Linked DNA regions of Arabidopsis thaliana. The protein of the gene in region 1 binds, or shares a complex with, the protein of each later gene. Each region holds a gene or a part of one and is shown on either strand. Other genes may lie near its edges.

Evidence for each region.
Region 2: rps18 (region 1) and EMB3137 share a complex: the UniProt entries of both Arabidopsis thaliana proteins name them as parts of the 30S ribosomal subunit.
Region 3: rps18 (region 1) and AT1G64510 share a complex: the UniProt entries of both Arabidopsis thaliana proteins name them as parts of the 30S ribosomal subunit.

The regions. Positions count from the first base shown.
Region 1 is NC_000932.1:65,982-68,732, forward strand, and holds rps18 (ribosomal protein S18), read left to right. Parts: upstream 1-1,935; coding exon 1,936-2,241; downstream 2,242-2,751. Other genes in the region: petG (cytochrome b6/f complex subunit V), read left to right, coding at 17-130; psaJ (photosystem I subunit IX), read left to right, coding at 948-1,082; rpl33 (ribosomal protein L33), read left to right, coding at 1,507-1,707; rpl20 (ribosomal protein L20), read right to left, coding at 2,531-2,751.
Region 2 is NC_003076.8:4,616,718-4,620,871, forward strand, and holds EMB3137 (Ribosomal protein S13/S18 family), read right to left. Parts: upstream 2,265-4,154; 5' UTR 2,056-2,264; coding exon 1,939-2,055; intron 1,742-1,938; coding exon 1,517-1,741; coding exon of another isoform or gene 1,472-1,516; exon of another isoform or gene 1,290-1,471; coding exon 1,122-1,289; 3' UTR 706-1,121; downstream 1-705. Other genes in the region: CXE16 (carboxyesterase 16), read left to right, coding at 165-705; AT5G14330 (uncharacterized protein), read right to left, coding at 3,230-3,503, 3,722-3,834. UniProt on the Arabidopsis thaliana protein: Located at the top of the head of the 30S subunit, it contacts several helices of the 16S rRNA.
Region 3 is NC_003070.9:23,954,303-23,958,188, forward strand, and holds AT1G64510 (Translation elongation factor EF1B/ribosomal protein S6 family protein), read right to left. Parts: upstream 2,003-3,886; 5' UTR 1,976-2,002; coding exon 1,523-1,975; intron 934-1,522; coding exon 691-933; 3' UTR 501-690; downstream 1-500. Other genes in the region: AT1G64500 (Glutaredoxin family protein), read left to right, coding at 1-74; RPN12a (regulatory particle non-ATPase 12A), read left to right, coding at 2,157-2,261, 2,562-2,640, 2,935-3,037, 3,118-3,381, 3,477-3,588, 3,678-3,818. UniProt on the Arabidopsis thaliana protein: Binds together with bS18 to 16S ribosomal RNA.

The sequences.
Region 1 (2,751 bases):
ACAAAAGAAAATTCAAATGATTGAAGTTTTTTTATTTGGAATCGTCTTAGGTCTAATTCCTATTACTTTGGCTGGATTATTCGTAACTGCTTATTTACAATACAGACGTGGTGATCAGTTGGACTTTTAATTAATTAACATCTCGTTTTTTTACTAACCTCCTTCTTGCTTTCCTATGCGGGAGGTCTAATTCAGACTGCTGCTCAGTAATTTGTGAACAGTGGAATTTTGATACAATCTATGAAATCACGCTCTGTAGGATTTGAACCTACGACATTGGGTTTTGGAGACCCACGTTCTACCGAACTGAACTAAGAGCGTTTTTCTTTTTTTTTTTTTCTAAAAAACGAAAAGGCTAGAAAGAGGGCATTCTTTAACCCGACTCGATTTTGTACGTATATACTATATCATACATAGTATATCATAAATTTCAGAATTAAATGTATGTCCGATAAAAAAAATTGATCAAAATAGATACCTCGTTACTGCTCTTCTGAGCAGTAATAGGTAGGGATGACAGGATTTGAACCCGTGACATTTTGTACCCAAAACAAACGCGCTACCAAGCTGCGCTACATCCCTTTCAATAGGTTTACAGTGTCATTGTAGAGAATTCCTGTCTTGTTTTCCACATCCTCCTTCTTTTTTATTGGTATATCAAATTCATTTCTTCTTTTTTTCTCATATCAGATAACAAAGATATAATTAAAAAATTTACTTTTTTTTTTTTTTTTATTCTCTCAATTTTACATAAATAGGCCTTTACGTTTTCAAATGGAATCGATAAGATCGTTCTAGTCGACAATATTAAAATTCTAATTTTGAAAGCGGGGGGACGGAAGTTACATATACAAATACAAGAACTTCTTAATTACATGTACATCTGTAATTATATATATTACTATATATAATGTAATACAATAAAGAAGAAAGAAGGAGGATTTCTAATGCGAGATCTAAAAACATATCTTTCCGTAGCACCGGTACTAAGTACTCTATGGTTCGGTTCGTTAGCAGGTTTATTAATAGAGATTAATCGTTTATTTCCAGATGCATTAACATTTCCCTTTTTTTCATTCTAGTTATTAACATCAGAAAGGGGTGAAAAATTTAGAGATACAATCAACAATCGGGGACTAACCCCCCCACCTTTTCTAATTAGTAGAATAAATTAGAAAAGGTGGGGGGGGGGGGGAAAGGTCATAAAAACGAGGGTTCAGGATCCAATGAAATTAGTAATAGAACGAAAAAAAGTGTTGCTAGGGAACCTATCAGATACTTAAAAAAACTACTGTACAAAGATTTTAAATATAGTTTTCACAAAATCATAAATCATTGTATTACTTATTTTTTTTATTTAATTACTAATAAATAAAATATTAATTGTAACGAAATATTTCAGAATTTTTTTTAGTTAACAGCTTCTATTTTTTTTGTTCTTGTTCTTTCTGGATCCTAAAATTAAAATAGAAGATTGAGGTGAATCATAAATCCAAAGGAGGTTTCATGGCCAAGGGTAAAGATGTTCGAGTAACAATTATTTTGGAATGTACCAGTTGTGTTCGAAATGATATTAAGAAAGAAGCCGCGGGAATTTCCAGATATATTACTCAAAAGAATCGGCATAACACCCCTAGTCGATTGGAATTGAGAAAATTCTGTCCCTATTGTTATAAACATACAATTCACGGGGAAATCAAGAAATAGATCAAATTGAGTGCTTGTATGTCAACTTTTATTTTAAGAACAGGAATAATGCTAGTATCTATATATTATTACATATATATAAATATAAACAAATAAATCAATAGAAAGAAATCTAATCCGATATTCTTAATTCTATATAGAAATTCTATCCTATATAGAAATAGAAATCGTTTTTATTTTGATCCGATCAAAATAGGATTTTAGAGATAAGGAATAAAAATAAAAATTATGAATAAATCTAAGCGACTTTTTACTAAATCCAAGCGATCTTTTCGTAGGCGTTTGCCCCCGATCCAATCGGGGGATCGAATTGATTATAGAAACATGAGTTTAATTAGTCGATTTATTAGTGAACAAGGAAAAATATTATCTAGACGGGTGAATAGAGTGACTTTAAAACAACAACGATTAATCACTATTGCTATAAAACAAGCTCGTATTTTATCTTTGTTACCTTTTCTTAATAATCAGAAACAATTTGAAAGAAGTGAGTCGACTCCTAGAACTACTAGTCTTAGAACCAGAAAAAAATAGACTTATTTTTCAATTGAATAACAATTCCAATCTGAAGGAATTAAAAAAGAGATTAATGTTTTGTTCAAAAAATCCAATCAAGAATAAAAATTTGATTGTTACGTCTGTGTCTATTATAAAAAAAAAAAGAAAAGAATCGTCGAAAAGCATAACTCGTTTTTTCGAAACTATATACTCTCGTTTTGTTTTGACGACTTTTTTTTTAATACTAATTTCTACTCTACCTTCCCCGAGCTCATTCTCCTTAGAACTCTATTTCAAATATTTTCGTGGATTTCTTCCAATCCCCTTATTTTTTTATGTCATTCGAAATTGTATAAAGACAACTCCTATTTAATAGAGCTATTTGTGCAAGTATTTTCCGATTAAGAAGTAATTGCTTCTTGTATAGATTGTGTATGAATTCATTATAACTATAGAATACCCCCATTTCGTGAATTACGGCATTTATTCGAGTGATCCATAAACGGCGAAAATCTCTTTTTCTTTTACCCCTATCCCGATGAGCCG
Region 2 (4,154 bases), on another chromosome or scaffold:
AAGATCTTAAGAATAGTTTCATGTTGATCTAGGAGTAACTTGGTACAAAGTCAGGATTCTTTGGACAACTAGTTAGATGAACTAAGATAGCTTATCTTCCATTGATTGCAATCTCACATCAACTTCTGTGTCTCAACCTGTTGCTTCATATGATGTTAAAACAGATGTGTTCTTCTCGGGGTGAGCTGTGGTGGGAACATAGCAGACTATGTAGCTCGGAAAGCAGTGGAAGCTGGGAAACTTCTAGAACCGGTGAAAGTTGTTGCACAGGTTCTAATGTACCCCTTTTTCATTGGAAACAACCCAACACAGTCCGAAATAAAGCTGGCAAACTCTTACTTCTACGATAAGCCTGTCTCTGTTCTAGCCTGGAAACTCTTCTTACCAGAGAAAGAGTTCGACTTTGACCACCCGGCAGCAAACCCACTTGCCCATAACCGCAGTGGACCACCTCTGAAGCTAATGCCTCCAACACTTACAGTAGTAGCTGAGCATGACTGGATGAGAGACCGAGCCATTGCTTATTCAGAAGAGCTTAGAAAGGTAAACGTAGATTCTCCAGTTTTAGAATACAAAGACGCAGTTCATGAGTTTGCTACACTTGATATGCTTCTCAAGACTCCTCAGGCACAGGCCTGCGCCGAAGATATTGCCATTTGGGTCAAGAAATACATTTCACTCCGCGGCCATGAGTTCTCTTACTGAAAATTTTTACCCTGTTATTATTCATTTTCTTCCTTTTTTTTGTGTGATAGCAAGATTTTCTGGGTAGGATTAGAGACAATCCAAGATCGAGTCTTTTGGCAAAAGCTATAAAATTTTATTTTTTGGTTACTTATGTATTCATATGTACGTATTCTGAATAAACCATTTTTGGTTCGACCAAATTTTCAAGTTTGTTCTTGGTTTGTCATCATTCTTGAATGCTGAAATCTTCAACTTCTTTTGTAACTTTATAATGAATGATGAAGATACGGAATAATAATAGCTAAAAAGCCGAAGATAAACTGGAAAGGGCTCAGTTCGAACAAAGGTTTGGGAATTACAAATCACATTTAAACAGAGATGACTAGACAAACTAAAAAGAGTATTACAGAAGAAGAAGGAGATCATGAAGATGATTACTTGGAAACTTTCTTCTTCCCTGCAATAGCAATTTTCTTGCCTTTAAGAGTCCTGCAGTTGTTCTTGGTTCTCTGTCCCCGACATGGCAGCCCTTGGATGTGCCTTACCCCACGGTAACACTGGATCTCCTTCAACCTCTTGATTGCAAGAGCATTGAACCTCCTCTGCACAACATCCACAACACAAATCAATAATTCATTCACAAAGGCCTAAGAACCAAATCAAAACAAGAGGAAACCCAAACTAAAGCAATGAAAACACCAAATAGATAGCAGCCTAAGTTCTTCTCCAATCTTCAAGAAACTGCTCGAGAATGGACTGACAGAAACTGAAACTATGATGCACATTACTCATGTCCTAAAGTGTGTAAATGTAAGGGAAAGTGTATTACCAGATCACCCTCAATCATGTACTTGGAGACTTCATCACGAAGAATGATGAGTTCTTCCTCAGCCATGTCTTTAGTAATCTTGTTCTCCATCTGAAGATCAACAAGAATCTGACGAGCCCTAGTTCGACCAATCCCATGAATGTACTGAAGAGAGTACTCAATTCTCTTATTAGCCGGAATCTCCACTCCACCAACACGAGCACATCTGATGCTTAGACTCTGCTTCTGCATTTCATTACAAAAAAAAAAAAAAACTTTAAAAACACAGAGACAAATTCCCCCAAAAATTGATGGAGTGTTCTATAACCACCCCTAACCCAAAAATTGACGAACAAGAATGAAGTAACACATAAAAAAACATGAAGTCAAGCTCGATAAATTACAACATCATACGCAAGAGAGAGTCCAAGAGAAATGATTACATTGGGAGTGTTTGAAGCTGGGAGGGCAAGAGTGTTGCGAGAGAGAGGATTGGATTTTGCCCAATTGCAAATGAGTGAGAGCGAGTGCGCTACGGGCATCGCAACCATCTGCGCCATTGTTATGTTCTCTTCCTAGGAATTTCGGATTCTGGGAAACTAATTCAGAGGTGACGAAGAAGAAGAAGAAGATGAGCTGAACGGATAAGGCAAACGTCGAATCCAAACGCTTCTCTTGTTTTTGCTCCGTCTCTACTTACTCTATTCAATTAATTGCTTACAAAACTGGCAAAATAAATACTTGTTGGGCTTTGTTTTTTGTTGAGATAGGCTCGCTATTGTATAACACGGCCCAACTAGTGGACTATAACAAAAATGCAAAAACCGAGTGGACTATAATAAAGTGATACAACTATAAAATGAAAAAAAAAATGATTTACAGATATTTTCTTAACAACTAAGATGAATGGTGTGATCAATGACACACATTTGATCAGAAGACGAAAGGCATGAGCCTTGGCTCCATGTGGGCACGTAGCTATTGAGGATAGAGTCATGATAGAAAAAGATTGTATAAAAAAAATGGTAAGTGTATAGATGAAAAGTCAACGGATGAGAATGAGTCTTGTTAACTATTTATCGAGATGGTCGTTCACTTCGTTATTGTCACATGTTGTTGTATTTTAAGGTGTTTGGGGATTTTTTCCATCTTGCATATATATCTGATTCATTGGAGTTGTACACTTGTACTCATGGTTTTGTTGGCAAGTTTACTACAATATTTCGAGTGTTTTCATGATGTTTATTGTTTCGTACTTTACACATGAAACTAGTTTAAAGCTTGTCGTTCTTCTAATAAGGATATCACTCATTGATTTTGACACCAACGTCTGAATAGTGAATACACCATTATTTGTTGAGGCGTACCCATTACTGTCACGTAAGGCCTGCATTTCATTATTTTGTTTAGGCTGACCCAATTTATTTTATATATTTACTTCGGATATTTATCTATTCTATAACCTTAAGATGAATTAGTTGATTTTAAAAAGAAAGTCCACCTTTTCTCAAACGGGCCATTATAATGCCTTGATTAGAAGATTTGGTTCGAAAAAGAGGAAAATATGATTAAGATAATAAAAAAAACATCAAGAGATAAATGTTTTATTATGATAGGAACACAACATCACAATCTTTGAAGAATTAACAAAAAAAGAAGGAATACATGTGAAAATTAAAATAAAATCTCATAGAGAGTAAAACATATTCTGAAGATGAATGGCAACACATCTCATCAGAAGACGAAAGACATAGCAGCGACCAATGCGGTGGCGATGAGCTGAGGGTAGGCGGAGAAAGTGGCGGCACTTGGAGACGGAGCCTTAGCCATGGGTGGCATTGGAGCCATAGCCGGACCATGGTGGTGGGTTCCGTTGTGCGACTCAGCAGTCATGACCATCACGGCCAAGACAATGCAGATGAAGGCGAAGCGGATCAAAGAACTTCTTGGTGCCATTTGAATGTTCTTCTCCTTTTTCTTCTTATTTGGTTTCTTTCTTTGTTGTTCTCTGTATGATCTATCAACAAAGGGGGTCGAATTTATAGAGAGAGAGAGGGGTCCTATAAAAAATGTTTAGTGGGTTAAAAGTCAACGCATGTGAATGAGTCATGATGTTGAGACGACCTAAATTCGTTATAATTTACATGTTGTTTACTTGAATATTTAAAAAAATGGAAAAAAGGACAGAGTGATCATGGTTATGTGTTTGAATTTGTTAGTGGACACCCATTTATATGTTCGTGAATGTTCTGCCGTTCTGGAACAGCTGTTACATAAGAGGGACGTTTCTTGACTAAGCCAAATTGACCCGGTTTGATTAGGGATTGATTCCAATCCATGTTCTGTTGCCGGAGACCAAAGAAAATGGTGTCTTTTGTGAGGCCGATCAGGGGCTTTGGCTCTTGATGAAGTTCAAAAAGAATAGAAATGTTAGCGTTGGTGATAGTTTGATATTTCCAATAAAGCATTCCAACTGTACCAACAAGTTTTAAAGATCAAACATCCGAAAGTACTATACAATCATTCTTGAAACTTGAAAGCAAACCAGTAAAACTTAAAAAGTAACACCATGATTCTTTTAACTAAATTTAGCAAATGTTATTATTAATATGATTATTTATCTGTTTGAAAAAACTGTAATTCTAGTAAACAAACAAAT
Region 3 (3,886 bases), on another chromosome or scaffold:
GTGAAAGGTGGGAGAGGTGTGTCAAGTGTAATGAGAATGGATTGATTCGTTGTCCCGTGTGTTTTGTTAATTAAGAACATTATTAGTTTACACAAGCAAATAGAGGTGTGTCAAATATACTTTGTCCCGTTTGTTTTGTTATATGTATGTGACACGTTTGATTTTGTGGAATTGAAAATGATTTGAAACTATGCTAGGATTTTCATAAAATGTTAAAGCATGAACGTGAACCATTATAATGCTAAGCTTGCAAGGTCTCTCACTCGTATATGTTGATGGTTTTGATCAATTACGTAAAGGAGTTCAACAATCTCACTAATTTAAGTTTGGATCGTCAGAAGGTAAAAGCTGGCAAACAAAGTCACTTCTGCCTGAATACTTTACAAATTTGTTCTTTGTTGCTATTTTGTTTGATTGTTATGCATCCGTTGAGGATTTTGTGCTATGAAACAGAGTAATATGAATTCCATCATTATAGTAACTATGGCAAGTTAGTGTTAGTTAAAATCTTTTAATGAAAATGCATACAAGTATGCTTCTCAAACTTAGCTTTAAGAGTTTCTCACAGTTACATAAGAAAGCAGAGCAATGCACAAAAAAAGATACAAAAAAGATAGATTTACTTTTGTTCTTACAAAGAAACAAAAAAAGAATCTGACATTTTTCTCACATACACAATGTTCATGGTCTTCAGTTGTACTTCCTCTTCTTTATCTTGAAGGAAGATGATCGGATAATGTCATCGTCGGCAGTGAGAACGGTCTCGAGTGGAACTATTGATTCGGGTTTGGTGAAGTAAGTGAAGAGAAGGTAGATTCCATCCAAGTAAGTGTTGGTTTCTCCAGCTTTGTTCTTCTTTCTTATGCTGTAAGCCAACGGAATCACTCCTCTGTTAAACACTTCCACATACATTCCACCTCCTGCCACAAGCAACTGCCACACACACCAAAAAGAAATCCCAGCAACATAATGAATCTTTCAGAGTCTGCACCAACTAAAAACTTCCACTACTCCGAACATAAATTTCAGAATTCCTCATTAGATTAAACATGTGATATAGCGTAAAAGAACCCACGCGTAAACCACAAATGATAACTGTGTATTAGCTCGTTTCGAGCATCAAAGGACATTTCAAGAATTGAGTTAAAATGTTATGGTAAAACATGACTAAAAAACTAAGAAGTGCACTAAGGGCTCCTATCTTGTTTCAAATGGTTGAGACTTAAAGAATTCACAGCCCACAGAAGGATGAGATTTGCTCTTAGAAAGTTAAACTCTTTACTTCAATTTTAACAAGGAGTCGTCACAAACATTCAATTGATAGCTGCAAGTTACACAACTCTACATTGAAACCATTTTCTCTTGCTTTGTCATTAACGTGTAAGAACAGACACAAGATACAACTTTTAGTGATCTCTTACTCAACTTCTAATTGAATCCTAAAATCTCTTTCTCTCTCAAATAATCAAATTTCCCTCTGACATGAAACAGAAAACAGGTAAAGTTGGAGACTTTTACTTACCTCTTCGTATTTCTGGGTAAGACCAAGCCGTTCATCTTCAGACATGTCTGGTCTCAAAACCGCCATTGTTTCGTACTGCCTGAGCCCAGGTGGGCACTGAGGTTCCGGTTTGTCTTCAAGGGCAGTTGAGACTCCCGACCCGGAAGGAGAAGTCGGGTCATCATCCGACCCGAATCCACCTTCAAAGAAAGTTCCAGAGAAGTCAAGAGCCTGAGATTTCACCACAAATTGAGAGCCATCTCTCTTCTGTATCGAGGCACACATAGGTTTCGACTTGGAAATGAATGGCCTGAGAGAGTGGGAGAATGATAGCAGCGGCTGCGAAGATACATTAGGCAGAGGGCAAATTGTGGAATTTGATACACACAGCGAAGACGCCATTGTTGTGAGATTGTGAAAGCAAAGAGGAGATGAGAGAGTAAAATTTGGATAAGAGATGATGATGGTACACATTAGTCAGAATTCTATTGTACACCATGGGCCTTTTTAGGTTATTGGGCCTGTTAAAGGCCCGTTTTGTAAAGACAATTATTTCTATCTGTATTATTTGTCTTCGCGATCAAGCCAGTTCTCGGAGCAATCAAATCTATAAGAAAAGAATCGTCGCCGGTGAAGAGAAAAAACCATAGAAGCGATGGATCCGCAGCTAACTGAAGTTTCACAGCAGTTCGAGAGATTCAAGGCGGCGTTTGCGAGGAAGGATTACAATACCTGTAGCGATCTGTTGTCTCAGCTTAAGGTCTACATCTCTCTCTCTTCTTTGAACCCTAATTTGTTTCAATTCACTTCTTTGCATATCTGCTTATTGAACCAACTTTGGGAAAATTGATGGGTTATGTCGCGAGAGTTTAAATCTATGAGAGCTTTGATTTATTGAAGTGAGAATTTTTAGCATATAAGTGTGTTAAGGATCTTTTAGAAGAGCTAAGTGCTATGAAATTTTTAACTTTCTACTTTAAGGGATTGTTGGGATTGGTTTAGATTTACAATTTACTGGTGCGAGTCTCTGATGTCGCTGGGGTTTTGTTGTGTTCTTCAGGTTCTTCTTACCAAATTCACAAGTCTTCCTCCATTGTTCGAGAATTCACCTAATGCAGCCAAGGAATTGACTATTGCAAGTAAGTTTCTCTTTTTCATTATTGGTTTTACATGAGCTATTTGCTAGTAAGTTTAGAGTTTTGCTTTCAATTGCATGGAGTGTTTTGGATTTGTCTATTCTCATGAGTTATTTGTTAACTATACTTAAATACCACTGAAGAGTGTCTGAGGGATTGTACTGCTTTAGTTTGTCTGTCTATCCCTATATGTATACATTAATCGTTGAATGCTGCATTGGTTTGGATTGAGTTATTGGTAATTTTTGTTCTTATTGATTATCCGTTTCTAAAACTTTGACAATTGGTGTATTCTAGGGGACATTTATGAGCATGCTGTTGTTCTAAGCGTCAAAACCGAGGATCAAGATGCTTTTGAGAGAGATTTCTTCCAGCTGAAACCTTACTATGTGGATGCCAGGTAAAGAAAGAACCAACTGTCTGAACATTATCTTTTTCATTTTCTTTTGGTCTAACATATCTTCTTTTCCTCTGCACCAGGAACCGTATTCCTCAGTCTCCACAGGAGAATCTTATCCTGGGTCTTAACCTTCTGAGGCTGCTGGTACAAAATAGAATTGCTGAATTCCACACCGAGCTTGAATTACTTTCATCAGCTACACTAGAGGATCCTTGCATCAAGCATGCAGTAGAGCTTGAGCAATCCTTCATGGAGGGTGCCTATAACCGTGTGTTGAGTGCTAGACAGACCGCGCCTGATGCAACTTACGTCTATTTCATGGATCTCTTGGCAAAGACCATAAGGTAGCATCAATGAGTCTGTCCTTCTCTGAATTAGTTCAGTCTTATGTCTTCTCGCGTGTTATCTCACCTTTTTATTGTTATGACTGAATTCACAGAGATGAAATAGCTGGATGCAGCGAGAAAGCTTATGATTATGTCTCTATCAGCGATGCCCGGCAGATGTTGTTGTTCTCTTCTGATCAAGAACTCTTAACCTATGTCACAGATGTAAGAGAAAAAACATTTTGTGCAAAGTTTAGAATCTTTTTTAGTTTCATGAACCATTGACGCGATTTAGGTTTTATCAAATCTTATAGGAGCATCCTGAGTGGGAAGTGAAGGAAGGGTTTGTTGTCTTCCAGAAAGCCAAAGAAACTGCACCGTGCAAAGAGATTCCGTCTCTGCAACTCATCAACCAGACTCTAAGCTACGCCAGAGAGCTGGAGCGTATCGTGTAAGATTCGACTTTTCTCACTGCTTGTCTCTTCTCTTCTGTTATGTTCCTGGAAATCTCTGGGTCAGAAAA